Saccharomyces cerevisiae S288C: one gene and its partners. The gene in region 3 interacts genetically with the main gene of each other region. Each region holds a gene or a part of one and is shown on either strand. Other genes may lie near its edges. The genes, in order: TPN1, SNT1, UCC1 and RAM1.

The links.
Region 1: mutations in UCC1 (region 3) and TPN1 together harm fitness more than expected from each alone (negative genetic interaction), as found in Saccharomyces cerevisiae (one large-scale study listed by BioGRID).
Region 2: mutations in UCC1 (region 3) and SNT1 together harm fitness more than expected from each alone (negative genetic interaction), as found in Saccharomyces cerevisiae (3 studies listed by BioGRID).
Region 4: mutations in UCC1 (region 3) and RAM1 together harm fitness more than expected from each alone (negative genetic interaction), as found in Saccharomyces cerevisiae (one large-scale study listed by BioGRID).

Annotation. Positions count from the first base shown.
Region 1 is NC_001139.9:150,537-158,238, forward strand, and holds TPN1 (Tpn1p), read right to left. Parts: upstream 2,241-7,702; coding exon 501-2,240; downstream 1-500. Other genes in the region: YGL185C (putative hydroxyacid dehydrogenase), read right to left, coding at 2,631-3,770; cystathionine beta-lyase STR3, read right to left, coding at 4,079-5,476; MND1 (Mnd1p), read right to left, coding at 6,007-6,663, 6,747-6,749; GTS1 (Gts1p), read left to right, coding at 7,370-7,702. UniProt on the Saccharomyces cerevisiae protein: Thiamine-regulated, high affinity import carrier of pyridoxine, pyridoxal and pyridoxamine.
Region 2 is NC_001135.5:182,739-192,612, reverse strand, and holds SNT1 (Snt1p), read right to left. Parts: upstream 6,125-9,874; coding exon 2,444-6,124; downstream 1-2,443. Other genes in the region: exosome non-catalytic core subunit RRP43, read left to right, coding at 1-779; fatty acid elongase ELO2, read right to left, coding at 978-2,021; BPH1 (Bph1p), read right to left, coding at 6,590-9,874. UniProt on the Saccharomyces cerevisiae protein: Part of the Set3C complex, which is required to repress early/middle sporulation genes during meiosis.
Region 3 is NC_001144.5:583,350-590,372, forward strand, and holds UCC1 (Ucc1p), read left to right. Parts: upstream 1-3,114; coding exon 3,115-4,224; downstream 4,225-7,023. Other genes in the region: IFH1 (Ifh1p), read right to left, coding at 1-2,141; YLR225C (uncharacterized protein), read right to left, coding at 4,346-5,569; BUR2 (Bur2p), read left to right, coding at 6,005-7,023. UniProt on the Saccharomyces cerevisiae protein: Substrate recognition component of the SKP1-CUL1-F-box protein E3 ubiquitin-protein ligase complex SCF(UCC1) which mediates the ubiquitination and subsequent proteasomal degradation of target proteins.
Region 4 is NC_001136.10:294,490-301,863, forward strand, and holds RAM1 (protein farnesyltransferase), read right to left. Parts: upstream 1,841-7,374; coding exon 545-1,840; downstream 1-544. Other genes in the region: clathrin-mediated endocytosis regulator UBX3, read right to left, coding at 1-270; NUR1 (Nur1p), read left to right, coding at 2,331-3,785; FG-nucleoporin ASM4, read right to left, coding at 3,928-5,514; LUC7 (Luc7p), read right to left, coding at 5,725-6,510; YDL086W (carboxymethylenebutenolidase), read left to right, coding at 6,924-7,374. UniProt on the Saccharomyces cerevisiae protein: Catalyzes the transfer of a farnesyl moiety from farnesyl diphosphate to a cysteine at the fourth position from the C-terminus of several proteins having the C-terminal sequence Cys-aliphatic-aliphatic-X where X is Ser, Ala, Met, Cys, or Gln.

The DNA of each region.
Region 1 (7,702 bases), on a different chromosome or scaffold from region 3:
ATCTTATTTCCTGTTTATGCTAATTTTTACGCAATTAGCGTGCCTAAGTACAAAAAAATGTTTTGTAAAAAGTATGAAAAAAATTCTAATCTTCGTATATCTTTCTTTCCTGTGTTTATACTTGGAAGAAGCGAAGTATTTTATCCTTGAGTGTGTCTTATTTTCTCTTCCCTTTATTTGCTACTAACCAAGATGGGAGATATCGCTTTTTCGAAGGACGCCTTTGGAATCCGCTGATCTTATTGGTGGACAGTCAGCTGACAGAAAACTTAGATCGTGACAGCAAATTAAACGATTTGTGCTACTGTTCAAAGTGTCAGTATATCACTCGATGATTTCAATTGTCCACCAGGCTTAGATTTTCATGTGAAAAGATAATGTGTACAAAAAAATATCCTCCCTGAGCGTAATTTAACATACCATGAATCTACCTGCCAATATTATCTAAACTAAAGTTTGCCGCTGCACCGTAGTTTTAATATATACTTATGTCATTTCAATTAACGACCAAATTTACGTAGCTCTAAGTATCTACAAGGAGGGTATACAACACCTGAGAACGCCATACTTAACCACATTGCGACATCACCACCATATTCACCAAATTTGGCAGCAATTGGGCCAATCCAATAGGCTTGCGCCATACCAACTACCACACCAGCAACTCCTACAATAAACGCAAATGTTGCTGCATAACCGTGCGTTAAAACCTCATAATCTTCCCATTTGTCCCAATTGTAACGATGTTTAGTCACCTTATGTTTTCTTTTTAACAAATGGATATTAGTAACTGCATCTTTCTCCACTTCTTTTGAAGATCCAACAAGTTCCGGTCCATTTATTTCTCCTGTAACTGTAGGAAACTCTTTGGTGTACAAATGTAAGAAAAACCTTCTGAATACTAAATTCTCTTCGAATAATAAGATAAAGTACATGCTAATCCAGTAGCCTATCATTGGTAGGAAATTTCCCAAAATAGTACTAAAATGATTACGACCTATTAATGCGCATACCAAACAAATTATAGTACAAACAATAGACCAGAACCAGCGAGGGATTTTTGCACAAAACACACTAGAAAGTTGGATGGAGAATGCTGCCGAATACGTATTGATGATGTTGTTGGATACCAAACTGAATACCAGTACTACCACGCAGAACTTTCCGAAGCCGTTCCAACGCTGAAAACCTGCCCAAAGTAGACCACCCATTCCATGGGAATCGTACTCGACTGACCAAGGCTTATACGACATGGCAACAGAAGCTAGTAAGAGACCTAAGATTCCGACGAAACAGGTAGGCAAAAATGTTCCAAAAAACGTTAGGCAAAAAATTTGAATATATGGTGTATCTTCTGGGAACAATATATAATAGTCTGCTGTAATAGACCCCCAAGTAGCCGTAATACTATAGCATAATGAAAAAAAACTCATCCAGTTGCCCTTTCGGGTGGAAGAGTCCAAATTTCCCTTTGAAACGTATGCATTGACGAAGCTGTATTTATCACTTGATGAAATGTACAGTAGTAAAAATGCTGTCAGGACGGGTACGGATAAGTAAGTTTCCACTTTAATGACTTGTTTGATACCGAAAATGGCAACTAAAAAGGAGCATACGGTCACTATGACAATCCCTACCCATAGGGGTACTTTATCATTAGAAATAGCAGCTAACATTTCACCCCCAACCACGGAATTAACCACAGACCAACCCATGACACCGATAATGGAAGCTAATGCAACTAATTTAACAAACCACCATCCGAACAGGTATCTAGCTGTTACCATCTGTCTGCAACCGGACTGCGGTCCCATGATCGAGCAATAGGCAGCAATTAAGCAACCAATTGTTACCGATATTAAACTGGAGGCTACGGATTCTCTAAAGCTTAAACCGAAAAGCAGAGGGCCTAATAAAAACGACGACATGGAAGACAAACCACCTGTGGCACTCAACCATAGCCCCGCGACATGCAAAAATTGTTTCTTTGATGTTCCTCGTTCATAGGGAGATATCCTCTGAATACCGGTAGACTCTACTCCCATTGCGTCCACTTTCTTAGAAAGCCATGCCGCCCTGTTGATAATTCTTCTCAAAATGGACGGACTTGAGTTGGCCTTTTCTGTGGCTATGTTTAAAGAAGAAGCTGCGGTTCCTTCTTCGTAAAATTCTATTACATCAGTAGTATGCTTTGTATGATCTTCTTTGCGCTTTGTTGTGTCCATGTTGTCCCTATTCATCTATGATCGAAGTTTTTCAAGTCCTGTTCTTTGATAAATACTCTATAAAGCTAATAATATTCAACAGTAATATTTTTATACTGAGAACCTCAACATCTGTTCTCTTTTTTAATGGCCTTCTCTTAGACACCATCAAAGCAGCCTGACGCAGAAAATTTCAGGTGAGATAAGGTGCGGCGAACAAATCCGAAATTTACTTACACGCAAGTACGAGTCATACACCTACGGGGCACTGTACTACAATCCATTGTCGAAACAAAAACGGCACTTAATGTTGACTTCTTTTTGAAGTCAAATGCATACGAAAACTCGCACTGCTCTTTTTTCTTGGTGTGTTGACGTATATGTATATATAGGTATGTTAACATAAGGTTCTTACGTCTCTTACTATCAAACTACACGGGAGAAATGCTCATCGCTTGCGGCTTCCCCAGACACTACCCGTAAGATTCTTGTCAATGCCAGTTCACAACTTTGCTCAAAAACATCCTTTGTCGCACTACCCAAATGCGGAGTAATTGAAGTAAGTCTATCAGAAGATCTGATTTTTTCATCTATTTCTGGTTCTTTATTAAAGACGTCTAAACCGAGATGGTTGATTCGTCCCGTTACCAAGGCGTCAGAAACAGCCCGCAAGTCCAAAATTTTACCTCTTCCCAAGTTGACTAAAATTAGGCCTGGATTGCAGTGTTCCAAAAATTTCCTGTTGATTAAATGTTCTGTTTGTGGAGTTCCCGGCAATGTGACCACGATTGCATGAAACTGGTATAGTTTTGCATATATTGTTTCATCTAGCAAATGAAATTTCCAGCTTTCGTTTTGACTCATTGTGCAATCTTCGCTTCTTTTGCAATAATGTATTTCCATTCCTAGCCCGTATTGCAACTTGTAGGCTACTTGCTTTCCAATACTTCCTAAACCAAGAATTAAGCATTTCTTTCCTCTTGGTGATTCAGCAAACATATTCCCCAGTTCATGGCCAAAAGCAAATCCGCTCTTTTCTGCAGCTTTCGCCCTTGCAGTTAATGTATTTCCAGTTTCTCTACTAAGTTTTTGGTAATAGGAGAACTTTCTAAAGCCCTCCAGAATGTGCCACAAGGCACAATCTGCCACATCATTACCGACTTGATGAAGCTTTAAATCGTCTATCAATTTTTCATTTTCATCGTCTTGGTAGTTGTATAATCGAATTTCATGCTTGCGTAATGTATCCAGATCCCATCCGTCGTAACCTCTTGAGCAAAGCACGATACATTTTAAATTTTTCCTTGGAAATGACTTGTGTTCGATGATACTTCGAGTCATCCCACCGATTTTTTTGAATGCCGGAAACCCAGCATAAATGGCACATATTTTGTCTTGTTCATGCCTTTCTAAAAAGTTAAGAAATGCTTCTTTGGTGTCCAGCTGATAGCGCAAGATCCTGAACTTCTCTTTGAATGCCTTGGAATTAAGTGTGGCTGATGTTTCGCACGGATCTGCGATGAAAAGAATAGTAGGCTTTCCAGTCGTTGCAGGAGAATCGCACATTTTTTGTATGCTCTTTTCCTTCTAAATCTGCTGTCAACCCATTGTCGAGTGAAGTTATAAAAGCACAGCTATTTCTATATTCCTTTTACGACCGCCATTACACACGTTCATTGAGGCAAACTTTCCTCCTTCGCGCGTGCGTTTCCCAAGGGTAGTAGTAAGAGCTTACGGAACAGCCCGAAAGGCTGTAAAAGTTTAATATACTTACTGTTCTTGAAATTCTGTCTATATACTTGACTATTTAAAGTTACTATCTTTGGATTTGAACCTTATAAAAAAAAAAAAAAAAGGTACATGCATATTTTCCCTTACAATTTCGAACTCTTAATATTCAATTCTGAGTCCTTTCTGATGAGATCTTGATTGTAAAATTCTTCGTAAATACTTAAAGGCTTATGCAGGTCATCGATGGTAGTGTTCACAGCTAGGTTCTTATTCAATTTGTTGAAAAGATATTTGCCATTTTCTCTTACTTCTATAATATCAGCGTCAACCATCGCCGCTAATAAATCTTTCTTCAAATCTACTATATTTTCGATACCGCAGCAAAGACGAACCAAATCTTCAGGAAAATCTCTCTCTTTCCTTAATTCGGGATCAATGGAAGCATGGGACATTTTGCAAGGCATAGATAGAAGCGAATTTACACACCCGAAAGATACCGTCACAGCCCATATACTCAGTTTTTTGGAACTGACCAGTCTCTTTGAATGTTCGAAGGACCCCGTTTCGAAGGATAACACGGCACCTGGGCCATTATTGAACGATTTATGCAGCTTGAAATCCGGGTTGGAGCGTAATCCAACAAATCTAGTTTTCGTAGCCTTGTTTGTTCTGGTAGGTTTGAATCCGCATGAATTTTCTAGCCAATGAGCCAATATCATAGCATTTCTCTGCTGTTGATATAATCTAACTCCTAGAGTTTTTAGGCCCCTCACAAGTAGCCAAGAATCCATTGGGGATAATCCAGCTCCTGTAGAATTAATGACAAAGTAAAGCTTCGAGGCTATTTCTGGTGTTTTGCTGATAATAACACCCCCCATCAAATCGTGATGACCATTCAAGTACTTGGTAGCAGATTCGTATACGACATCGCAGCCTGGATTCAGTTGAAGAGGATTACAATTGAGTCCACTCATCATAGTATTATCAACGACAACTGTAGTGTCGGGAGATATGCATTTCACAAAACGTAATATTCTAGGGATATCTACAACCTTGCAAAGCGGATTGGTCGGAGACTCTAGAAGAACACAATCAACTTTATCTAAAGACTGGAAAACGGTTTTGAACTTTTCAAAATCGGAAGTGTCCACATGAACAGAGACTGCATGACTCTGTTGCTTGAAAAAATTCAGCAGCCTTTGGGTGCCTCCATAAAGATCATCGCCGGCTATTATTGTTGGCGTATGGTTGTCAGTGCCGTTAAGTAAGACGAGCCCACGCAGGATGACGTCTAGCGCCGTCATACCACTGCTCACAGCTAATACGTTTTCCTGTGGGACACGATAAAGCTTACCAATCTGGTGTTGAAGGACACTTCTGGTCGGGTTTCCCGATCTGGAATAATCGTAGTTCTGTGCATCTTCATTATTCAAGTCCACTTTGAAGGTAGTCGACAAATACACCGGTGGCACGGAGGCTGAATGTTGGTCATTTTGAGAGCCGGTATTTACCACAACTGTATCTAATCTCTTGATCGGCATCTTTTTGCTTCTATGCTTTTGTTGTTTGCTTGATATTTTTTGTTTTTAATGAACTGTAAGCACACAGAGCTATGGGATGTGTGGCAATGACTGTATATATATGTATATATATATATATATATATATATATATTTATTTATTTATTTATTTAAAATATAGCTACGTATGCGCCAGTTGTTTTTATCAGCTTTGCTTCTGGCCACATTTCAACCAGGTCTCAGAGGATATATGGCCAGAAGGCCCCTTTACACACTTTTGAGATGCGATGAGTCTTCCAAGGTAGGAGCATATGCCTCCAACAGACTTCGGCCCGAAGCATGCTGTGCTCACGGGAATTATATTGTGTGAAGCACATGCCACACTTTCCAAAAAAGAGTCAGAATGAGTCAGCCGGATAACCAAACGCGGACTGTGGCGCCACGGAAAACAGTGTGGCAAATTTATGGGCGGCTAATCTGCAAGCTCTATGCCTGGAAATGTAGATGTAATAATCAAGACACTTTTGTTCTTTCGTGTATAGTGCATGAAGGTTAAACCTCCGTAAATTCCTTGAACTCTTCTGGAATTCCAAATTCTTTTCTTATCTGTTCTGGCTTCAAAAAGAATTTCTTGTATAAATAATCAATGAGAATCTCAATGTTATCAGTAGTTTTCTCCAGATGCACTTTTTTTAGGCGGATCTGTTGTTTATTCTCTTGTATTTTTGCTGCATCCCATCTAATGCTTTCTATTTTTTGGAGACTATTACTCTTTTTCTTAATTTCATCCTGAATTTTTTTTCTCTTTTCCAGTAGAGCCTCCCTATTGTATGATTTTTGGCCTACCGTAAATTTTTTACGCCTTCCAGTTGCTAGCGTTTTGTCTAGTTCTTGTTTATAAGTGGCAATATCACACTTTACTTCCTGTATCTTTTTTTTTATCAACTCGCTTGAATCATACAATTTTTGCAGTGTCTGATTTTTAAAGCACCAGTAGATGTTAATATTACCACATTTTTCCACCGAAATGACGCCGTCTTCATCAATCATTTGTTGCACTAAATCTTTAACGATCATGGGTGAGATTCCGCATTTTTTAGGTATGCTTTTCTCTAATTCCTTGATGTTGTAGAATGTGTACGTCTCTTGAAAAAAGTTCAGAATCCGGTTCTTTTTCTCTTGGAGTGATACTGTCTGTCTCTTTGGCCCCTAATAATAAGAAGAGGGTAGCACGCACCCGTCTATAAGTTAGTGTTCAGTCCTGTGTACCATGATGGTTTTATTAGACATACCATTGTTGAATGTTTATGATACTACACATAAAGTTTCCGCCGTTTAGTCTATATCGCAAAGAATAACGGTGGGACGGGAGATCGCCTTTTATATGCAATTTCGTGATCTGGGCGGTTATTTTACTTTTTTTCGACGCATAAAAAAGCAGGAAAGATGGTAAATTCGGTTCGTTATTCAAGATTTTTAGAGCCAGAAAGATATTTGAGCGTGCCTTCGTGAGAAGAGGCTTAGGTTGAGACGATGATGCTGAAATTATGGCAAGACACGAATTCTTCTTCAAGTTTCCCTTGTCATAATAAGAAGAGAAAAACATACCTTTATGTCGGTTGCAATTAAGAAGGTTGTATAGAGCATCTCAAATGCTGCTTTTACTTTATTAAACGTTGACCAAATAATACGGCGCTTTTGTTTCGACAACGACACACTATGATGCAAAGCGGATCCGGGTAATCGATAAATGGGGGCACCCGGAAATTATTGTAAGTTGAAGAAAGTTAGTGTTGATCTCTAAATGCTTCACAAAAGGGTGGAAGAAGAACATTTTCTCTTGATCAATCATTAATATAGATGGAGGCAGCGTTCTGTCAATCACAGATTATAGTTTATTTATACTTAGTCAAAAATGAGGTTTAGGAGTTCTTCCCATAGCTTAAAACATGTTGACAGAGAATTAAAGGAGTTGATTAATTCGTCCGAGAATGCCAATAAATGCGGTGAATGTGGTAATTTCTACCCAACTTGGTGCTCAGTTAATTTGGGGGTTTTCCTTTGTGGTAGGTGTGCCTCTGTTCATAGAAAAGTTTTCGGTAGCAGAGACGACGATGCCTTTTCTAACGTTAAATCACTATCAATGGATAGATGGACAAGAGAGGATATCGATGAATTAGTGAGTCTTGGAGGCAATAAGGGGAATGCTCGGTTCTGGAATCCTAAAAATGTCCCTTTTCCTTTTGAT
Region 2 (9,874 bases), on a different chromosome or scaffold from region 3:
TTGAAAGAGGTAGAGTGGGCGCTTGCACCGATGAAGAAATGACTATATCACAAAAACTACACGATTCCATATTGCACTCTAGGATATTGCCTAAAAAAGCCTTGAAGGTAAAAGCTGGTGTTCGTAGTGCGAATGAAGACGGTACGTTTTCCGTCTTGTATCCCGATGAATTAGAAGATGATACGCTGAATGAAACAAACCTGAAAATGAAAAGAAAATGGTCATACGTTTTGTATGCGAAAATTGTAGTCTTGAGTCGCACTGGTCCAGTCTTCGATTTGTGTTGGAATTCTTTGATGTACGCTTTACAGAGCGTAAAGTTACCTAGAGCATTTATAGATGAGCGTGCGTCCGATTTAAGAATGACTATAAGAACAAGAGGAAGAAGTGCCACCATAAGAGAAACGTATGAAATTATTTGCGACCAAACTAAGTCAGTACCGTTAATGATAAACGCAAAGAATATTGCATTTGCTTCAAATTATGGGATAGTGGAGTTAGACCCCGAATGCCAATTACAAAACTCTGATAACTCTGAAGAAGAGGAAGTGGACATTGATATGGATAAATTGAACACTGTGCTAATAGCAGACCTAGATACTGAAGCGGAAGAAACAAGTATACACAGTACGATCTCCATCCTCGCTGCTCCTTCAGGTAACTATAAGCAATTAACATTAGTGGGAGGAGGCGCTAAAATAACGCCAGAAATGATAAAAAGATCATTGTTGTTATCTAGGGTTAGAGCGGACGATTTGTCAACAAGATTTAACATATAAAAGACTCGGATAAAATTATCTGATGACTGTCGAAAGGAAACGGAAAACTTTTTTCAACGATAACATGTGTATGTAATATATAACAAAACCATCCGGTCTTTTACAATATAATAATAGTGATAATAGTAACAATAGATCCACTAAGAAAAAACGAATATACGAAAGTTGAATACTTAAATTCTTTCAAAGATTTTACACTTACCTTTTTCTTCTGTGTTGAGGTTTTGGTGATGGAGATGGAGTAGGAACGTTTTTCAAGTCAACGTTAACATACTCATTAACCTTTGCGGCAACACCGCCGTGGGCACGCTTTACCACTCTACTGGTTTTGGTGCCTTTACGTTTATAAACGTTAATGTAAAATGAAATAAATAGTACCAAATATGAAGAAATAATGGCACAACCTGCAAAGGTGGCAGTTGTTGAACCCACACAGTCACCACAATGTGGCAAAATTGGGAAATACAAGTGAACTGCTTTTTGGTAGACAGCAAAATATATGAAACCGATATCCAAAACAAATTGGATAATTTGAAATCTGGTAACCCATTCCTTCCACCAGACCCTGATGCCTCTGGCAGCCAAGAAATAGTACCAATACATAACCACGTGAACACCAAGGTTCAATGAAATAGGGACCCAAGAAATAGATGTGGTGCCCATCAATTGGGTGTAACATAATAAGGCAGTAGCGCCATGGTGATAAGTATGCAAAAATGTCAATTTTTTATGTTTTAGCACCAAGAAAAAGGTGTCTATAAATTCAATAAACTTGACAATGTAATTCATGTAATATAATGTAACGAGCGGTTGAGTCCAAGCACCAATATTACAGATAGCGAAGTATAACCCGTGCTGAACAATAATTGGCACTAATTGTTCAACCATAAGCAATAAAAGCGTCAATGAAAGTGAAGTTAAAACCAAATTATGCAATTGGAAAAGGCCATTTAATTTAAATGGTTTCGACTTACTTAACAAAAACCTGCCACCAAAAATAATAACGTAATAGGCAGTGATGGCGTATAGCACAGGGGGCAAAGTGCTTAATGGTAATTCACCTGCAATGAATTGGAATTCGCTTGGAACAAATCTACCGTTAGTTACACGAGTGACGACATCATCGAAATGTTCCCACAACGAAATATTAAAAAATGGTCGCTCCAAAGTTGGTAAATAGTCATGAAGTTGGGGATAACGCTCGAACAACGGAGCAGCATATTGAGTAACGAGTGAATTCATGGCTTCTAGACGAAGATAATTAGTTCAACCTTTTCACTTTGTACAAAATTGCTTGTGGATAATAGTGAAATGAAAAATATTTTCCAATTTTTCATTGACTTTTTCGCGATGTTTATTTCTCTGTGGGTTTTGCGATTTTCAGCAATGGCCGCACGCCAGGACATGTGAATACGTACAAAAATAAAATGTGACATATTTACACGACACTTAAATAAAGTCGTTTAAAATCGGAAAAAACTGTATAATGCAGAAAAAATACGAAATTACAATTATAATTAAAAACTCCTCCCTTTATATATATACATATATATATATATAATATAGTACACTAACACACGTAAGGTAATGTATGCTCGAGAGTTTCACCAACCATTGGATGGAAAAGAAGTAGAGCATATGTATTGCCCGTCTCAGCCGTTTGTTCAATTATTATTTTCCTTTTTAGATAAAAAACTGCTCATTGCATCTGGCGCGGAGGCAACCGCAGCCAAAGCTGCCAACGGATCATTCGAAAAATTGAACTTTGGAGGCGCACGACTTATTGGACTAGTGCGAGGGGCCGGTAAAGGGAAAGTAGGAGTGCCTTGAGAAATAGCATGCTGAAATGGCAGCAACGGCCTTCCATCTGGGTTTGATTGCCCATTCCCATTTACAGGATTTAGTAATGCAGAAATAGAACTCGATCTTGGCGTAGTAATATTCGGTTTTATTTCTTGTACTACAATATTGTTCATGCTGGGAGTGTCTTCGAGCTGTGCTTCGTGTCTTGAAGCGCTTTGGAAAGAAGATTTCATGCTTCGATCCGAATTATTCAATAGATTGCTGATTGTCGTCGATTTACGGCCAATGTCAATTGCATTCCTTTCATTACTGAAGTTTTGATTATTTGTTACTGACGAAGCTGCATCAGCCAACGTGTCAATATGGTCTAAGGGCCTGTTACGCAAATCTGTCACTGTAGGTTCTGCCATTTCTGAACGAGGAAACTGAATAGATGGTAGTCTTGGTGGTGGTAAAGTGGTTAAAGGAGCACTAATTTTAGAAAAGGTATCACGATGAAAATCAGGCCCAAATGGTCTTATAGAGCCATCGATAGATGAAATAGATGTATTATGCCCATGAGTTGGTTGTCCAACAAAATAACCCAAAGCCGGTCTTTGTTGAGGAGGAATATTACTATAGGCATTGATGTTTGGTCGTTCTGGTTGTATCAAAATTTGAGATTGTTGTACAGATTCTGAACTAGTCCCATCTCGCTTTAAGTCGGTTTCATCAACCAGTAATTTCCATCCATTGCGAGCTGCATTTCTTTGGTAGTAATTCCTTACCATTGTAGTAGATTTGGTACCCAGTTTTTCTGATATGAGAGACCATTGAGAGCCAAACTCCTTCAACAATTCTGGAAAGAGTTGAGATTCACGAACACTCCAATAACTTGTTTTATGCTCTGGTGCAGATTTGTGTTTCTTTCTCTGTAACGCATTCTCTAAACTGAAGTCAAGTTCTTTGGTCTCCTCTGGATAATAACCATTCTGAACAGCTCCTTTTGGATCCATTATTTGTACCCCATTGTTGGTTTCTATTACACTGGACTTATTGCTCTCTTCTCCAACTTCATCATGCGCCCTTTTTAAGTCGTTTACCCTCTCAGCATTTTCCAATTCACCTGCAAACTCTTCGCCTCTCTGTTCAATCATATTTTCAACTTTTTCCGGTGTACCTAATGGATCACCTTTCACTTCAGAACCTTGAACTAGAACCGGCTGAACATTTTCCTCGGCATTGTTCTCACTTTTTTCTTCCTTCTCTATCGTGTTCGTTGACTCTTCTTTACTCTCATCAACTTCGACTTCCTCGTCATTACTTCTTTCCTTCCTCTTGCGGCGCTTGGCAGCGGCTGACATTTTTCTTTTCTTGTTCTTATCGATAAGAAGTTGTTTATAATTCACAGTTTTCTTTGTTCTATAATAATGTAGGACACACTCTTCAGGACTTCTTAAGCCGCCCATGTAGTGAGAAATTTTACCAAATTTTTTAGGATGAATTAAATAACCCTCCAAAAATAAAGAGTGCTCATGGTCAGTAAAGTTGTCAGAGGCGTCTTTCAATATTCTAGACGCCCAAAGCTTTTTGTCTGTAACCAAGTTATTTACATCACAGAATTTGTAAGAGTGTTTGCGGATTGGATCTAAAATTAGCGGAGGAATTGTTGCAGCAGCCTGATAATGTTTATAATTTGGGTCGATTTGTAGCAATACATTTTCCATTTCCGCATCATCAACGAAGTCAGCCCTATTTCTGCGACGAGATGAGGAAGACGAGGATGGATGCCGTAAGCTTTTTTCCTTTTCTGTTTCGATACCTTCTTCACGTCTTTTCTGCTCCATTAGTTCGTGCTCTTTACGTTTATTTTCGATTTCTTCCTTCCTTAAATTTTCACTCAGTTTAGTCAAAATTTCGCATTCTTTTTCATACTTCTTCTGGAGATCGAAATAATCATGTTTTAAATTTATTTTTTTCAAATGTTCTTCCTTTTTTATCTTTGATATAATTTTCGTCAAGATAAGTCCGGTAGCCTGCTGATGTATAAGTTTGTTCTGTGCGTAAAAAGGATACTCTGAGAAATTCCTAATTGCCTTTTTCAGTAAGTACTTTTGTTCACTTATTATTTTGTTTCTTTTCTGGTTTTTCAATTCCCATAATCTCGTTTCTGCTTTTGGTAATGGGAAAATACACCCCTCCACTTTTTCAAGAGGTTCTTCGTAACTTTTATTATCATTGTCTACTGTCAACTTTGTTACGTCTGTTTTCAGGGCTTTCGGATCGTATGCTCTTTCATAATCTCTAATTTCTGGGCTTTCCTTCCTTTCAACAGAGCGTGTTAGTTCCTTTTGACTTTCTTTGGAAACTTCGACTGCACTGGCCACTGTTTTTGCCGTCGTCCAAATTTCGTCCTGCTTTCCATCAATATTGATTTTACTTACTTTTTTAGCGCGAGCTTCTAGTTCATCATGCTCTTTCATTTTTACAGGAGTAGGATGTTCCTTTGCTATCTCACGCCCACTTTTATGTACTTCTTTTTTCCCCAATGCATCTTCTTCGCCAACCTTGATATTATCGGGTTCTAAAGGTGCATTAGGTTTAGAAACTGATTTTCTTGGTGGAAAATTGTTATCATGGTACGATATGGCTTTTGTCTCATCTTTACTGGGTGTTTCAACTTTAACTGAAGCCTCTGGTTTGTCCAATTTATTCGCATCGTGAAATTTTTTAGTATGAAGGGAAGGCGATGACTGTGAATGAGTTGATTTTAAAATAGTAGTACTATTTGCTTTCCAAAAAGGTTCCCTTTGATGGATCGAGTTAGTATTGCTGGTGGTCGTCATATTGCCGACATGATTATCAAATGGTGGTCTGGAAGGCGTTCCAATGGATCTCCATTTGTTGCTCCTAGAGTAATAAGAATGAGGGCTGTTATTATTAACAGATGAAACATTATTTGTTTCGAGCTTGTTCGTTACATCAGGACTATAATCATCCATTGATCGAGGTCTCCGAGAACTCCCGTTGGCAACATAAAACGGTGGAGCGTTTGATAATGCCGAGGGAAAGTGGGTAACGTTTGTAGAACTAGTAGATTGAGGATTATATCTGCTCATGGTTTTTCGAGAATAGCGTGAGTTTCCGATATCCGTATTGGTGTGTGTTATGGTGCTCGTATTCATACTTTCCGGAGTTGAACTAGTGGTTGAAGAGGATCTTTCCACATCTGGGTTATAACGGCTTCCAATTTTTCTTGTTGACGAATAAGATGATGACGAAGGCCTACTGACTGAGCTCGGATCATATCGAGATGGCCTGGGTGCTTCGATACCAAACGTGCTTCCAGGTGCCGCTGTAGGAAGAGGTACAGATGCAGTACTGGGAGTTACAGACGGATTTGTTGAATTATCGGCAGTAGGAGAAGATACAAATCCATTATTGCTTGATTTTGGAAAGCTATTCTTGGAATAAACAGCGGAAGGATGCCTTCGGTTAGGATTATTGGAATAATGGTACCTTTTCTTATCTCCAAGCCTTCGTGTAGGTGGCGGATACCCCATGTTTCTTACGCTTTGTTTCTGTTTGCTGTTCTATGCACAAGTTAGTAGGCAAATTATTAAGCAGGCCCTTTCGGAATAATTTAGTGGTTGTATATTTTGCTTGTTAAGGATTCGAGCAATATGACGGCTTCTTTCCCACTGCCTGTCTTAAACAATGAGTAAATTTGAAGGTGGTGCACAAAGTCAATAGTAATCCGAATTTCTGGTCTCTATTAAATCTGCGGTTGCGTTTTGATTTTTACATAATTCAAAGAAGAATTAATCGTTTGTTTTTTTCTTTTACCCTTTTGCCGTTTTCCATAGGCGAAATGGAGAAGAAATACTAGAAAAAAATACCCGGCGTTGGTAATGATATTGGATACGTACGCAATTACAATACTAGATGGGATGAGAAATCAGTTTCAAAAGTAAAGATATAAACTACAAAAATTGAATCATTTAAAGAAAGGCGTTACGATGTGATGCCTAGTACCAAATAGCTAATCTGCCATCTAATGTTCCCGCAATCACTTCTATCTCATGAGGCTCTGCTGTATCCTTGCGTCTTTTCTGGGACAGGTATGTCTTCCCCTGTCCCTTAATGCTAGTTATGGCTTTCCCTTTTTCGGTACAGAGCTGCTTCAGTAGCTTTATCGCCCATTCATTATGAAAATTCAAAAAGAGCTCGTAAATTTCTATAGTTCCATCTTCAAAGCCCACTAGTAGTATTTCCATCTCTTTCCAATAGATATGCTTTCTGTAACCTGCGTCTAACTTAGTGAAGTCAAAAAAATCAATTGAGCTTACAATTTTAGCTGGTTCGAATTTCTTTGATGTATATATTTGTCCATTTAGATTGAAGATCGAAATGGCGTTATTCTTAGTCAATACCATAATGCTCCCTGCATGTTGAGATATTGCGACCTTTTGCGCATCATTTGTTATTTGCCTTACTAGTTCGAAATTAATCATGTCCCAGACATATACTAAGCCGCTGATGTCTAAGGTTAAAAGCGTATTGTAGTCGTGATAACAGCGCATCTCCTTTAGCTCGCATAGGTGCCCAAACATTGTTTTTTTGTTCTCAAGGTTACCTGAAACCGAATGCTTATCTTTACGATATTTCCAAACTTTTATCAGCCCATTTTTATCGCCAGTTATGAATTCGCCCAACTTCCAGTACGCAAACGATGTAATCTGAGCCATATGCGTCTTTTTAAAAATATCTAGTCCAATTTTTAACCAATTTTTATGCACAATTCTCAATGACACTAACGATTCTTCCGTTCTGAAAAACAAGTTTGGGAAAGCGAAGCCCCTCCAGTATAATGAATCGAAGTAACTAGGATCGTGTATAACATAATCGACGGACCTGTTCTTTTCATTCAAATTAAAGATTGTCTTCTCAAATATTGGCTTCATTGGAACCTTACGCCATACCTCTGTTGTTAGCTGTTGAACATTGCAGGCTATTTTTTCCGGATGAGGTTCCTGAAATATTTGTAAAGGCGTTTGACCAAAGTTGTGAATAATGCCTGTGATAGCTCTGCGCTCATTTTCATCGTCAATGTTATCTAGATTTACAGCGCCTGGGTAACTCAATCTGTTGAATACGTTAACAGATTTCACAGCAATGTCCCCCTTTTGTTTGTAACCAAATATCAAATCAATCCATTCATGTAAATGTGCTGATACATAAGGACTTTCTAAAGCTTCTCTATTCTTTTGAATGAAAACCTTTGGGTCACCATTTGCCCAGGGTGGAAGTACGACGTCGTCAACTTTTTTACCGCTTTGGTCTGTACCAAAGTCATAACTATTAACGTTGATCAAAAATTCAGGTAGAAAAAAAAATTCAGGTGTCAATTCCCTGACATCCGTTGTATTTTCAGAAGAAGCAGAGCTCCAGGCCCTTTCAAGCGAACTAAATAAACGATCTGCAGGGCCAAAACTTCCGCCTTGCAATAACAAAAAGGATTCGACAAAGGGCTTCAGCCTTATCAGATATGAAGATACTATCATAGCTGAGGAATAATGCGTGCCATAATGAAATGGTGCGGAATCAGCATTTTCCAGGGAAGCCAAAGCTTCATAACGCTCTATAAACTGTAATTTCCTTTTCTCACTTTGAGCGCCCATAGGTTTCGATAGGTCCCGGTAAGTTTTAGGATTCTCTAAATCGAGTACGTTACTTTCGTAATCTGCAATAACCCACGGAAACACTGGATATTGGGTCAAATCGTTGAATGACCTTCCCGCTAGGATGTTGATACTCAACAGGTAATAAAAATTAGAAATCTCTCCCCTAACCCATTTTTTGCTGATCTCAAATCCATCTATTAGGCTGTTGTTCGCTGAGAAGACGCTAGTGAATTTAGAAGCAATGCTTGCCTTTCCTATTCCATTTCTTGCCACTATACTATTTCCTCGGTCGTTTATTTCTTGTAAAACGCTTGAAAAAATTGGATCTGCTGGAAGGTGCTTCGGGATCTTATTCAGTACCCGTAAAACGTCATCTCTCACTCTTTTGTTGTAAAAACTAAAAAAAGCGCTAACTCTCTCTTTGAACAATAATTCGATGGCGACATCCCGAAGTAGAAAGGGTCGTTTGGTAACGAAAGTGATATCGAGAAGTTTCCAAACAAAGACTTCGTGCTTTAGGAAAGTTGATACCCTTTTAACATCAGGGCCGTTAATTAAGCTAACCGTCATATCCCGTGATTCTTGCGATACTTCTGATAATTTTAGAATCTTTTTATCCTCTAAACTAAAATAGTAATCACTTACAAAGTAAAGGTAATTACTGCCATGAATTAAAATCCCCTCCTTAATTTCTAATCCAATAATCAAACTGCAATTCCAAATAGTTGCAATGGAATCGTTATCCTTCAAAAGTCTAAGAATTTTTCTATTCTCATTCAAATCTCCAACTGGCTCCGACTCAAGAGTCTCCATATGTTCGATAAATTCGTAGGATAAAATGCTTCCACTTTCTCTCCTTTGTCTGTTACCACCTGTTATAGTATCTTGATTAGCATCTTCCTCGTTAATGAGTGGTTCATATTTTGGTTCCCAAGCAGGCAAAAGCCTCCGTTTCATCCCATCAAAATCTTCTGCAAAGTCCGATGACCACTTGCAGGACGAATTTGGATTTGATTGTATCTCCAGTGTATGTTTCAGATGAAAAATCAAAAGATTTAAATTATTTCGATAGAAAACTGCATTTTCTTCTCTATCCGTTTTGAGGTTGTAAGTGTATCTTGATATGGACTTTTTGATTTTAAAATCTAAGGATGTGTTGTCTTTTCTAAATAAAATAAGGCACTTTTTATTGTTTTGGGTGACGTATTCTGATCTTGCATTTTTCCATTCGTAAACTTGGTTTTTGATCTGTCTAACGCTTATTGGAGAAAAATTGTTGTTCTTAAACAAGATATTGGTGACAATGTTTATGAACCGTACCTGTTGTGTATTGTTGAAAAAAAATGGGTATTGTTCAGTTATGAGGTTCATTGTTTCAGAGTTATTGCATGAGAGGATATTACTTAAACCTTCGAGTACTTCACTTTTATTCGCTGGGTCAAAAAAACACGCCACCTCCTTTAGTTTCCTTTCCTTGTTCTTAATGATCACTTTCATACAATTGAAGACTGCTTTGTTGTATCCACAATCACGTAATCTGTTGGCAAAAAATATTAACAATAAGCCAACGGTCTCATTATCACATGCTCCATGTGCAAATAAAACTTCCTGATGCGCCATCAGTGACTC
Region 3 (7,023 bases):
GGACGTAATCCAACAACATTTGAACTTACGATTTCCTTTGCTTTTGAGCCAATGTTTTTTGACCTTGAACTTGGGGGCGGTAGGTTATCATCTTCATCTGTGGATTCGTCATCAACGTACACAACAGTCTCTAAGAGATCATGTTTGCAATCTTTGGATCCATCAGAATTTTCTTTGTCTGAGTTAGAACTTATCAAAGAGGAAGATCCATCGCTGTCGTAATGAAAGTAAAAAGAGTCTGGATCTAAATCATCGATGTCTATGAACACATTTGTCACGCTGGAATCATCGTCGTCGTCTTCGTAATCGTCGTCCAGTTCTGTGCCAATGTCTAAGCTATCTGAATCTAGTGCCCTCAATTCTTCATCCGTGTCAGCATCGTGGGACGTTTCAGATTCACTGCATTCATCATCTGAAGGCATATGGGCAACATCCAACAAAATGTTATCATATTCATCGTCAGAAGAATCATATTTCCCGGAATTCAGGACCGTACTATGAGTGGATGGTTCCAGATCATCATTGGATTTTATCAAATTCGAGCCTTTATTCTTATGTTCAATATGACTTTTGCCCGATTTATGCCTGCCTTTCTTGCTCTTATGGCCACTATTTTCATCATCTGATTGAAAAAAAACATTGAAAATATACTCATCATTGTCCACATTGGAGGTTGTTCTCGTACTAGGTTTTTGCGTCTTTTTATAGAGCTTTCGTCTTTGTTTCCTTTCTTCCTGTTCCCGTTTTTTGGCCTCTTTCTTTTTTAGTTTAGATAGTTTTTCATCATTTAGCATTAACGGTAAAGATGTACTCAAGGATAGCTTTGGCTCTGAACCATCGCCATAATAATAAAGATTTGCAAATTTAGGATCTTCATAAAACGGCATATCAAAATCAGACATTATTTCATCTTCTTCGTCATCTTCTTCATCATATCCGTTTTCTTGATTGTATTCATTTTGCAAAAATTTATTTTCAGCATCTTCTACAGGATCAGACCCTTCTTCGTGTATACTACCATCGAATGAGAGTTCGTCGTCATTTTGTAGCTCAGAAACAATGTTTTGTTCTTCTTCTTCCAATATGGGAAGATCGTCTTCCCCCGTTTCAAGATCTGTACCAATTTCTCCATGAGAATCTTCATTGTTAATCACGTCAAAGTACGCATCCTGGTCAATATCATATTCAGATTCATCTGACTCTGAAATATTGGGAAATCGTAACTCATCGTTGTTACCTAACATCACCTTAGAATCCAGTTTATCTTCTTCATTACCATTGTTCTCTTTGTTTTTTAAATCCAAGACTTCTTCACCTATATCCTCGTTATAGCCTTCATTACCATTACCAAAACTAATGCCGTCGTCCTCTTTTTTGAATTTAAACGATAGCGCCTGTTGTGTAGTAGTAGTGCCTGAACCGTTTACTTCTTTTTTGTTTGATTCTTGTTGTTTTTGTTGCTCTTCTTTCTCTTTTTCTTTTTCTTCTTTCTGCTCTTCTTCATTTTCTTTCTTAGGGGATAGTTTAACTGATTTATTTTTGTTACTGTTCTCACGAGAGGAATAGAGTGTATTGCTATTTGTATTCATGGCAGATAAAGCTTTCATGGCTCTTTTCTTTCTTTGGGCCGTCAGTTTGACAAAATCTATATTCTCGTCATCAGAACTTGTTTCGCTATCACTATCACTATCACTTCCGTCATCATCATCGTCGTCGTCGTCTTCGTCATCATCTTCTTCTTCTTCTTCACTCTCTTCTTCTTCATTTTCACTCTCTTCGCCATCTGTTACAGCTTGGTAATCGGATGACTCTGTGCCCTCGTCGTCATTGTCTATTTGCCTTTGTATAAGTTTACTTTTTTTTCCTTGGGAATTATTTGAAATGTTCTTTGCTTTTCTTTTAATTTTATGTGGGTTTGTACTTTTGTTTTTATCAGAATCAGATACGTCACTCAAGGATGACTCAGAAGAGTATATAAGGCTAAATCTTCTTGGCCTCGTTGTACTCAGTGTGGGTGGTGATTGCCTGGACTTTGTATCGGATTCGCCCTTTTTTATGAGCCTTTTAATATTTGCTGGCAGTTTACCAGAATGTGTACTATGATTGATCGTACTTTTTCGAGGACTTTTTTTGCCTGCCATTTCGTTCTGTTTCCAGTTTGCCGGTTGTTTTTTCCTTATTTGTTTATTTGCTTCCTTGTTGAATTTCCTTCAATTTCAACAAGCTTGAAAATGAATTTCGTAGAATGAATATTACTATGTTTGAAATGGTTATTGCTTATGATGCTCACCGAAGTTAAAAAAAATATTATAGGTTTGTCCTATGTTAGAATTGTGGAAAGGGAGGAATGTAATAAATAAGCAGTAATTAAATATAGCCTTTTGAAGAGTTCCTCCTTTTAATTTCTTGTAGCAAGTGTTTCGAATGTATTCAAATATTACCAATGATTATACAAATACTTACAGCAAGTCAATTAAAGAGCCGTAAAAGCTAAACGTCAAAACGTGTAAAGCACCTATTATCTAGTCTCTTTTCCCTAGTTGTACTTTAAATCAATTTAGTGATGAGATGAAAAAAAAAAAAAAAAAAAAAAGAATTCCAACGAAAAAGAAACGACGGGCAGGGCAACCTTTAGAGATTTCAATCCGTATAAAGAGATGTAGTAGGCAGTACGGGTAACATCGTCACAATTCATAATGGAACTATCTAGCTTTTGCTTGATTGCAAAGTTCTACACCCGTTGATACTTCAAACATCTTTGCAATACGTAGGTAGGGGTCGCGTACTAGCAGCCTCCTAGTTAAGTGTATCTTTCAATCGCATTACGGAACAACTAGGCATCCCGAACCCCACACGGAAAAATCGGAACAATAACTGAAAATTTCCTTTTTCTTTTTTTTGCTCTTCAAAGTCTCTGCCCCTCTATTGCGTACTCGATTGATTTTTTTATCAAAGGCCATCTCAGACAAGTAGATCTACATTGGAGTTTCTCATAATATTATCACTATCGGAAGGTAGCATAACCTTTAATAGAGTTTCCGCTGTTTGCTTGGCTCGTTTTTTTGTTTGTACTATGCCTATTGGCGCAAAGAAGACAGAGTGTGCAAACAAGAGATGAATCAGAGCGATAGCAGCTTGATGGATTTACCACTGGAGATACATTTATCATTACTAGAGTACGTGCCTAATGAACTTCGTGCTGTCAATAAATACTTCTACGTTTTGCATAACCACAGCTATAAGGAGAAGAGTTTGGCGTGGATAGCTGAGGACAACTATATATGGGCCGTTGTCAAACATTCATTATGTTTATATGTCAAGAGTTTGGACCCACTTCGACAGCATGCCAGAGAAATCATTCAAGAAACGAAGGAACCAGGTTTTAATGTGCCACTGTGCATGACTAAATACATCGCAGATTCTTGGTATATTGTATACAATGCGCTGCAATATCCTGGAAAGATAATTAATATGGGATGGGACAAATATACCAAAAGTCAAGATTCAAATGGTTCTGATTCTACCAGTAACTTTAATAGTCGGCCCAAGGAAAGAACTCTTATGCAGTCGTTGACAGCTTTACCTGTTAACTTTTGGTCCAGGAGGAAGGACGAGCCTACACCGGTAAACGTTTGGTTTTATGTAAAAAATGCGCACGTTGCCAGATACATACCGAAAATTATTACGGAAATAGGCATATGCAACTATGGGCCGAAGCAGATCGTGGCAAGTGCAGGATATATCAACGAATTGATAACATCTGAAGGAATATACTGTGTTAACCTAGGCCACCTTCCCAGGCTATACGATGAGCAAATTTTTGAAGGCACTGGAACGACACATCTTCCCCTGGAACTGAAAGCTATCGACAGGACAGATTCAGATGTTTGTATCAATGGTGATTTAGTTCTACTCGGTTATGACTTTATTCCATATCAGATATCGAAGCCGTGGTTACTCTTTAGAATCGAACCCGTAAATAGCATTGAAGCAATCTTCAACTATAGTGAATGTTCTTTTTCATACCAGTTTGCATGGAGTTTGGCCTGCTTACAATCTGAAGAGAAAATTTCATTTCCTAGAGACACGATAATTGGGCACGGTTTACCTTACAAGCCATCCAAATTGATAAGAATTTTCGTCTACAAGCATCCGGAACAAAAGCAAGATCTTGGTCAAGAAATAGCATTGCCCAACTGGAATACCCCTTATCTTCGAAGATGAAAAAAAAATTTATCAATTAGTCTATAATATATGTGTATATACGTCTATGCACCTACCTACTTATAAATGGATATAATATTCTTGCAATGATGAAAATATGTATAGTCAAATTTCATTTTTTTCAATTGATAAATGTACTTTCAATGATGGAAACTCCTTCATCGTCATCGAATTTAGACTTCTGGCAGAATTGGTAAATGAATGGCTTCATGTTTGCCAGATTTTCAGCAATAGACCTAATGAAAGCGGGCAGCTCACTCATTATATCGTACCTATTGACTAATCTTAAATTAGATTCTTCAAAACCACGCGGAAATGAAATGGATGTAGGATATTTCCAACCATTTTGCTTATCCTCTTTTGTAGATGGAAATTTAACAGCATGATCATTTACACTTGACCCGACCTCCAAAATTTTGTCCTTATCACTAACCGCCCATATAGTCACTGTAGTGCTGCCATATTCTTTTGTTGTGGTGAATTCAATACACATCATCGAACGCTTCTCACCATTGAAACAAAGAAAATTCCATTTACTAGCCGCCTTATTGGGTATTAGCCCCTGGACAGCATCCAGATACAACATAGGCGTGTCCTTCAAGTCCAGCTTCACAGGTTTATCGTTTTTCTTGTATGAGATGGTACCATTGCAAAAACCTCTAGGAACAAAAACATGTCTTATCATTTTTCTGGACGTACTAGAAGAGTCTCTTTTTGCTAACTCTTCCAAGCTGATGCTCTTGTCAAGGTAATAATTGGAACCGTCCGGGTTTATTATGAATCCTTCTTGTAAATTTACGGTAATGTCAACCTTCAAATCTTTTAGTAAACAGCTTGTACTTCCCTTCGGAATATCTATCTTAATTAATAATTGAGCAAATCCACTGGAGGAAGAATTTTCCAAAGGTACGAAGTGAAACGTAACATTGTCCGATTCAACTTTTAACGTATCAAAATCTTTGATATTATCAATTTTAAAGCTTTCCCATATATCAATGTCTTCTTCAGAGTTTTCCTCACTGCTGGCTTTAAATATTTTGAAATTTAACTGAAAACCTTTGTATATACCGCCCATAACACTGGAATATAATAGTTGAATTAATCCACATTTGCCGTTGGTGAGATCCGTAAAATACAGAGTTTGTGTCTCTATTCTTGTTTCCGTTGGATTTCTTACTGCTTTTAATAAACTATGTGACTTGAACTTTTTGTGATTTGACGTCCTGCAAAACCATTCTAGTTTCGATGTATCCTGAAATTTAGTATAATTAGCATGATCCTTCTCGGATAAAACTTCCTTAACGGGGGCAAATTTCGTCTTCTCCTTTTTGATCGCAACCGCCATTTTTTCTTTGCTCTATGATTTTTATGTTAATTAAACTGTTCGTTGCCCTAAAATTTTGAAAATTTCTCGAATATTTAGAGAGAATCCGTCACTATTTTAGTATCTATCTTGTCTATTTATATATAAAATCTCATTCCCCTGTTATGGTTTTTGCCAAGCCCTATCCCAAAAAACCAAATGATACATGATAAACCTATTTATCCTCTTTAACAGACCTATCGTTTAAAGCTTTTTTATTGCAAACCCTATTCATTATGGCTTTTTGACCTAGGTCTCATTGTGACTTCTATTTTTCACTGTTCAGTAAAAAAAGAAAAGTGATTAAAAAGTATCACTATTTCTGTTAGAAAGCAAGTAGCTATTTTGATTGGTAATTATATACACATATTGAAGGAGGCCGTAGTATTTTCGTTTAAAATATATTACAGTAAGATAATGTCTGCTACATCTTCAAGTGGTGACGTGAAAAAATTTCAAGCTGTACCAAAACCAACGAGCAATGCATCACCACCACCAGCATCGAGTGGGTTTAACGCAAGGACCCTATGGCCGGATTTGATAGAAACACCAGAAAACCAGTGGGTTTTTGAGTGCAAAGATATTATTGAAAAGATAGGCACTAATGGACCGATAGCAGTGGAAATAAAAAAAAATATGGAAAAATGCTTAATGTACTTTTACACACTTAAAAAAAAATTAAATCTTTTTGATCACACCTATACGGCATCATGCATTCTATTTTACAGGTATTGGTTCATATATGGAATACCTACAGCCATAACTGAATGTATTCATATATCACAGGGAATTCTGGTCACCGCTTGCAAAACAATGGAGAATAATAGGCCTATAGAGGCCTATATTAAGGCGACTTGTGAGTTTTTGATGCAAAATATACCGTCTTTAAAAAGTCGAACAAATATTGATAAACTTAAATGGGAATTTAGAGATAAGTTAGTGACGAATGAAAAAAAAATACTATGTTTATTTGGCTTTGACTTAAATATCAGTAATCCAAAAGAATTGATTGAAGAAGTGTTCAGTGGCTATTATAGATTCAACAGGGATCACAATCTGCCAGAAAACTTTAAAAAAGCTTTTCCAAAAATTCTTCAAGAATCAAGAAATTTTATGGTCCAAGCTGTCACCCAGCCAGTTTCTTTATTGTGCGACGGTTATACGTTCATTGTACTATCTCTCATATACTGTGGTTTAGAGTATAAAAAGCTTGTAGACAAAGATTTCAGATATCCGAAAAACTTCTTCAAGGATAGATTCCCTATCGAAGTAACGCCGGAAAATTTTGCCAATATCTTTACCGATTACAAGTTACTGGAAGAGAATTTTTTCAACTTAAAAAGTAATAAAGGTGCTAAATTACAAATTGATTCAAGCATGATTGATTCGGTGATTGACGAAAGTGGCGATGTGGAAAATGAAGTTTCAGAAATCTC
Region 4 (7,374 bases), on a different chromosome or scaffold from region 3:
GAATCCGTGAAGTCTTAATAGAGGTTTTAAAAGACGTGAACTTCGGACAATGAAATTCAATAAATAATAAAGAACTATTAGGGGAGCTTGAAATAAAAAATGGAGTATTGATTTTAAGCGTCCATCCCGGCTCTGTGTGGGTTCATTTGTATTGCTGTTTTGATCTTCTGTCCTTCCATTCAAATCAGCAGGTGGTTCTTCTCTAAAAGCACCTGGGATTCGAATAAAGGAATCATCATTATTTCCAAAAGTATGCCTAAATATATCCATGTTTAAAGGGTATGTTTAAATCGCAGTCAAGCCGATTGATGAGGTACAACAAAATTTGGGAGTACGATTGCCCGCTGTTTTTGAACTTACTCTCACTTTTTGCTTCGTATGTAATTAAGCAAGGATGTGTTACAATAAGATTTCGCTTTGTTATTATCGTTTTAAAAGCGGTCGCCGAAGTGTCGAATAAAGGACAATGATAACGTAAAGAGAAAGAAATTGGAAAGAGACTGACCGCTAAGGAGATTGAATACATATATATAATAGTATGTGGTTAACTTGGAGAAGATAAATTGGATTTAAAGTAGTGGATAATTTTTCTTACATTTTCTATTGGTAAACCATAGACAGGGTTGACATCAGTAAGTTTCGATGATCCAATTAGGCGGTCTGGAGTACACTTAATATTATGTGGAGAATCATTAGGAGTGCAACTGTATGAACTTTCCGCAACAGCCAGTCCTAATAGGCAATAATTTGTATGGTAAAAGTCTGAGTGGGCCCCTGGTTTATCTCTCAAACCAGGTTGCTCTTTTTCTTGGCAACAGTACAATATGTAGTCCCGAAGAGCATGTTTGTTGAAGCATTGGCCATATCCAAAAGCTTCAAGAATGGCAGCCGAACCTCCAACCCAAAAACTATAGCAACCGTCAACAAGTTTGTTGCTCCTTCCGCAAAATCCTCGTTCTTCTTGCAATTGACGAGCACTAGACCATTCTAAAAGCTTTTCAACATTTATTTGGTCCATGGACCTTAAAATTGCTAGACTAGCTGTAGCACAGAAAGTATAGCCTCCGTGTGCCTCATCTACGTGAGGACAACTGCCGAATCCACCTTCATAATTTTGACAATTTTTCAAATAGTTTAACACACCTTCTGTAAGCTCTTCTGTAAGAATATTTAATAAGGTTGCTATGCTCAAGGCACAGTATATACCTCTTGTATCCACTTCTCCGACTTCTAAACAGGTCTTGAATCCTCCATTAGGCTCTTTCAACGATATCAGCCATTGGTAAATTCCTTTTCGATCAATTCTGTCCCAGCATCCATCTATGTTATCGCAAAGGGAGAGAGCATTAATTGCAGCATAAGTGCTGGCCAAATGAGATAATTGGCCAGGACCTCCACCAAAGGGTCCTCCTGAAGGACTAATAGTAAAGAGCTTATCTACAATTTTTCTTTTGGTGTCATCTGAAAGCCAGTCTCTGTCCATTACCTTCAATGAGTTAGCAATCCAATATAGCATCCACGGTTGTGAAGCATCTAGTGCTGTCATTTGTGGAGGTAACGATATCTCAAAAGCGACATCCAAGTACATTTTGTGAAACTCTTTCGTGAGAGCAGGTTCTATATTCTTTTCATCATCGTATATCTCTAATACACTTTGTAGTACTTTGTATCGTGCTTCTGTAGTGTCGGTTTCTAGTTCCTTCATCAATGGTTGGATTGCTTTACTTGAATCTACATGCGCTATATCGACGACTCTTTCCATAACTGGTCTCTTTCTTCCTAATAAGGCAGTATTTATAAATTTAGCCCTAGCTATGGACCTTCCTACTCTCTGTCGCATACGCTTTGATTGCCTATAGCTTTACAAGCACTGCAGTTGTTTCTGCATAAGAACGGCGATGATATGGACCCTTGCTTGGTTTATCCTAGCCACTTTCGCGTGTTTCAGTTTCAAGCTTTCCTAATCAGGCAACAGCTTATACGAAAAGATTAATAAGTTACAATGTTAAACAGTTTCGCTTCAAGACCTCTAACGTTAGCCAGAAATAATAAGAATAGGTGGATTAAGTTACAAGTGTTTTTGTCCTCCTACTTAATCAGAACAGAGCACGGGAATAGTGATCTCTTTCAATAGCGAAAGGAGGGAAAAATAGCCCTGCAATATATAAAGGAAGAAGTTAACACCGTATTAAAAGGGGTGAGGCCGTTGGGACAAGTGGTAGTTTCCTTAAAGTCTGGTTTGATTGACAATATTTAGAAGTTAGTGAAACGAACAACCTAAAAAACTTTGTTGTGCAGTAGAGAGCTTTACATTTACCTTCGGCAGTAAAATGGGTTCAAATGATTTGATAAATGAAGCATATGACGACTCGGAAGTAGTTGGTGAGGAAAGAGAATCAAAATCTGCATGGATGAAGAGGTGGTATCAGCTACTTACTTCTCCTTTAGACTTGCAGTTGGTAATAAATGAAAAGTTAGAAATGATCAACTGGGATGCTTATGCTAAAAGTCTAGCTAAGCCATTAGGGAATTTTTTAACAATACTTTTTTTTATCATAAGACTCTTGCAGGACAATTTGATCAAGCCCAACTATTACAAACTAAACGTCAAGTCTGGCGCTTTCGATCTTTCTAAATCCAATAAATTAAAAGAGTTTGATTATCTATGGGAGATATCATCCAGCTTTCAAAACAATAATCAATTTTATGCATTTCAATCTTGGTATTTTGTTACCTTAAGGTTTTTGAATAATCTTTTCAGGTTTACTATTTTCATACTGCTGTCCCTGAACCTGTACGTAAGCTGTAAATTCATGTTTGGATACTTTAAGACTTACAATCTCTTCCATTTGAAAAAAGAGTTCAACTCCCCAAACCTCACTAAACACAACTTGAAGGATCTAAGCAAAGAATACTATGAAGATATTTATAAGCAGTCCTTGTGGTCTATGTTGAAGCATTTTTTCAGAGGATCTCGTGATGACGGTCCTCATGTTAATCAAAATGAAGATGAGATATTTTTTCAGTTAAGAAAATGGATCCCCACTAACTTCATGATTAATCTTTTTGTGTCTTTTTCACCAACGGCAATTGTTTTTTTAAGCTTTTCTGATGTTTCGTTTACTTCAGCAATTGCTATAGTATTCCATCAATATATTCTGGATTATATCATAACTAAGAGATTTCAAAGAAGCGTGGACGACGACTTGATTTTATCAAGTGCAGCTTTGCAAGAATATGAGGACAAGCATATAATGGCACGAATTAACCAATGCAGCAATATAGATACTCTATCATCTGCAATGGGTACTAGATCTAAAACACCGAGAATATTCACCACTCACTCCCTATGTGGCGAAGAAATCAGAGAGGTTTATAATTATGAAAAAAGGGAATTTGAGGCATTACCGAAAATGACAGAAAGTGTGCCAGGATCCCGTGAAACCAGAATAAAGGATTATGGAGGCATTTCTCAAGTATCTGACCATCAAAGTCATCCCATTGGTTTTCATTATTCTCCTAGAATGTCCCCATATTATAGGGATAAAGTTTTGGATAACAATTTGGCTCAATCATCGTCAAATGAAAATTTAGAGAAGGGCGGAGCTTACCTGCCGAATCAAGACCAAAATAGACCATCGAAATCCCTGAGCCCATTGAGAAAAACGCCTTTAAGCGCACGACAGAAAAGGTTTGAAGGCTCAGAGTTCAATGTATTGAATAAGAATGATATTAATTCCATTCTTCGCTCTCCAAAGAAAAAGAAGAACTATCACAAAAGATAACGTTTCTTAATTATGTCTAAGTATATACAGTTACGTAAAAATCAATAAACAAAAGTAAAACAATGCTGTTTGAAAAGTTATCAAAATAATAAATGTATGAAGTATTGTAAATGTTCATGAATAATTAGCTGGACGATTTCTGTTATAGGTCATTCCAACCAAATAACCAATTACTCAGTTTGTGCGTAAAACCAGCAGGTTCATTATTTCTGTATTTCGCTTCTTGCTGACGCATTTTCGATTCTAGGTTTCGCAACAGATTAGGAATATTCGAATTCGGTCCTGCATTTTGCATGAATGGCAATTTGCCATCTATTACATCCAGCCGCTTATTCGGAGAATTTGCTACTATTGGACTTGAAATATTTGTTGGATTACCAGCATGACCGGCAGGAGTATTATCGTCTTCCCTCAGAAGAGTGCCATCAGTTATTATTACGTTTGGTGGGGATGGTGTATTAGATGTCGACGATGTGGAGGAATTTTGATACATAGAAACGTTGAATTCTCCAATGTCGTCGACATTATCAATTTTGCAGCCAGCTAATTGCTCCACCGCATTTTTTGAATATGGGATGCAACCAATCAAAGAACCGCGAAATATGGTTCCATTTTCCTGCAGTGCTCTCAAAGCAGAAGATGGAGAATTATAAGTGAGTTTGACCCAACTTTCACCAGTAAATATTGGATATTTTTTGTTATTCGACTCATTATTTCTGCCTTTTAAAGTAATAGATTTATTAACAGTAGAATCGTTTTCATCACAGCCTGTATCATGATTATGGAATATTCTGAAGGTGTTGGGGTTAATCCCGCGACCCAATCGCAATACTTGAAAGTCTTCCATAATATGACCGAAATGGGAGAAGTGTTCAATCAATTCATTGGAAATTGATTCAGGATAGCCAAATACGATAATTGCGCTCAAACTAGAAGACTTGGAAGATGTTTCATGGACTTTATTGTTTGTTTCGGCGGTGTTGTAATTATTATCTAAATGGTTCTGTTCAATGTTTGCTATTCTAACATAAGAGTCTTTATCAAAAACATTTGGAGTATTTTTGGAATCATAAGCTGACCTATTTGTTTTCTTCGCCGTGTATTTGTCGGTAACAAACTGAGTTGTTAATGATGGAATAGAACCGAATTCATCCTCGCGTTGCCAATCCTGTAAAGTAACGGAGGGTGGAATATCGTTAAAATTTGACAACAGAGAATTGATGTCATTATTTGCCGCAGACTTATTTCTTTCATTATGCTTGGAATCTTGATTTTGCTTACTGAAATTTCTCATAGTAGCGTTCATAGAAGATGAATCATCATTCTGGTTGATGTCAGAAGAAGAATTTTGCTTTGTTGTCTTCCTTCTTATCACCGTATGAGGAGTGAATCTCTTTTTAGGATTATTCACCCAGCTAGGATTATTCCCTTGGCCATGTTGGCTTATGTTATTTGTGCCGTTTTTAATGTTGTTGTTGTTGATGCTATTGTTACCGATATTACTACTATAGTTATTGGCGTTTACAGTATTGGAAAGTGAGTTTCCAAATCGTAAAGAACTTGCATCGGATGATCCATTGAATTGCAAGTGTTGCTGCTGTTGTTGTGGTTGCGGTTGCGGTTGTGGCTGCAACTGTGATTGCGATTGAAACATCTGGGTTGTCTGTGGTGCTTGCGACGTGAGGTTAGTAAATCCACCGTTATTATTGCCTGAACGTATTCCAAACATTTTAATTTGCCGTTCCTTGTTTTCAGGTTACAGAGAAAAAAAAAAAAAGAGAGCGAATAAAAAACTTAAATAGATAGGGAAACGATATGTCTACCTTATCGGGAAATAAACTATGCAGAGGTATGTGTGTGATATTCACAAACCTTTCTTCTTTCATAAGTACTCTCCTTCGAACAAAATTTTTCTAGCATCATTTTTTTATGTATGGCCCTACACAAAGCGTCTTCCGGGTAGTGTAGTAGCTGTCTTGCTGGCGTTAGTTGTCCGGTTATTCTTCATTAGCCGATCATAATCCTCTCTCATCTTGACATATCCCAGATGAATCTTCCCCAAGAAGTGGTCAGCAAGCCTTCTGTCTGTATCTAAACGCGATAGGTATGCCCCACACACCTCGCAAACCTGTAACTTTTGCTGGGCGCTCTGGCCCACGTTTTCTGTAATGTTTCGTACACGTTTTGCAACTTCTTTCCTTTTACTAATCAGTTCTTGTAATTTGACTGACTGTAGCATACCCATACTGACTTCATCTGCACGAATTAAAGAATCAATCTCTTGTCCCATTAGGCCTATCCGCACGTCCAAGACATCTAGTTCTTCGGTAACCTGCTGAATCTTCATTCGTTCCTCAGCGGTGTGTTTTAGATTTTGTAGTGCTACGGATATCTGGCCATTACACTCATTAACAAACCGAGATAGAATGGCCAGATATTCTCTTTCGAATTCGGGAAACGTTTTGCCCTGCTTGACCTCTCTCTCGTACTGAATTTTATGCTTGGTAAGATGCATCTGCGGGCATTTTCCCAGGCTCTGCTTGGTGCCCTGAAACAGGTCGTAGGGGCACTCGCCAACAAGGTATGACTTGCAGATCTTGGGATCGTGTAGTCCGAGGTCTCTTTTTTGATGCGAATACCTGTTGTGGCGGAAACTGAAGTCCCTGCCCATCAGCTGTTCGACGAGTTTGCGTTGTTCTGCGGCAGGCGTTGACATAGTTGACATTCTGACGGTAGTTGGCAGCTTTCTGCTGGGAGTGTAGAGCCTTTTGTAGTATAACTTTTTGTTCTTTTCTTTCTTCTCTAATGCCTGAGGCTTCGGCGGTTATTCGGGTAATACATTAAGGAAGTTGCCATGATGTGGAAGAATACGACTAGTCAGTTAGCGATGGCCAGCTCCTTTACCTAAATCATGTGGCCTATCTTCAGATAGCATACTACCACCAACCATCAATACCTCAATGGCTTTCAACAAGTACCCTTCGTCGGGTTTTCAGCTTTTTTCCTACTTTGCTGGATGCTTTGTGAAGATCAGGAAGAAATTTTATCGGAAAAACCTCACTAGGAGAAACTATATAAAAGAAGGGTCAGACTGAAAATGACGCCGTAATAAACTCGTGGTAGTAGATAAAGCAAACAATGTTGATTACTGAGACCTTTCATGATGTGCAGACATCATACGGCACCACTCTGCGTATATACGTATATTCTCCTAAGATTGCAGGCTATCCACAAGCTAAGTTTCCTGGGGTGATTCTGTACAGTGAAATTTACCAAGTGACGGGTCCGGTTCGTCGTTTTGGTCAAAGAATTGCGTCTGAAGGTTACGTTGTGGTGGCACCTGCCATATACCACAACTTTATGGGCCCTGAAGCGTTGCCCTATGACGTGCAGGGTACCGATATTGGTAACGAGTACAAGATCAAGAAGCCGTTAGAATCATACGATGAGGACAACAAACTGTGTTGCGATCTACTTTTCCAGTTACCCCAATTCGATGGTAAGAGAATTGGTTCCACAGGAATGTGTTTAGGTGGCCATTTGGCTTTTAGAGCGCTCCTGGACAAAAGGGTTACCTGCGCAACCTGCT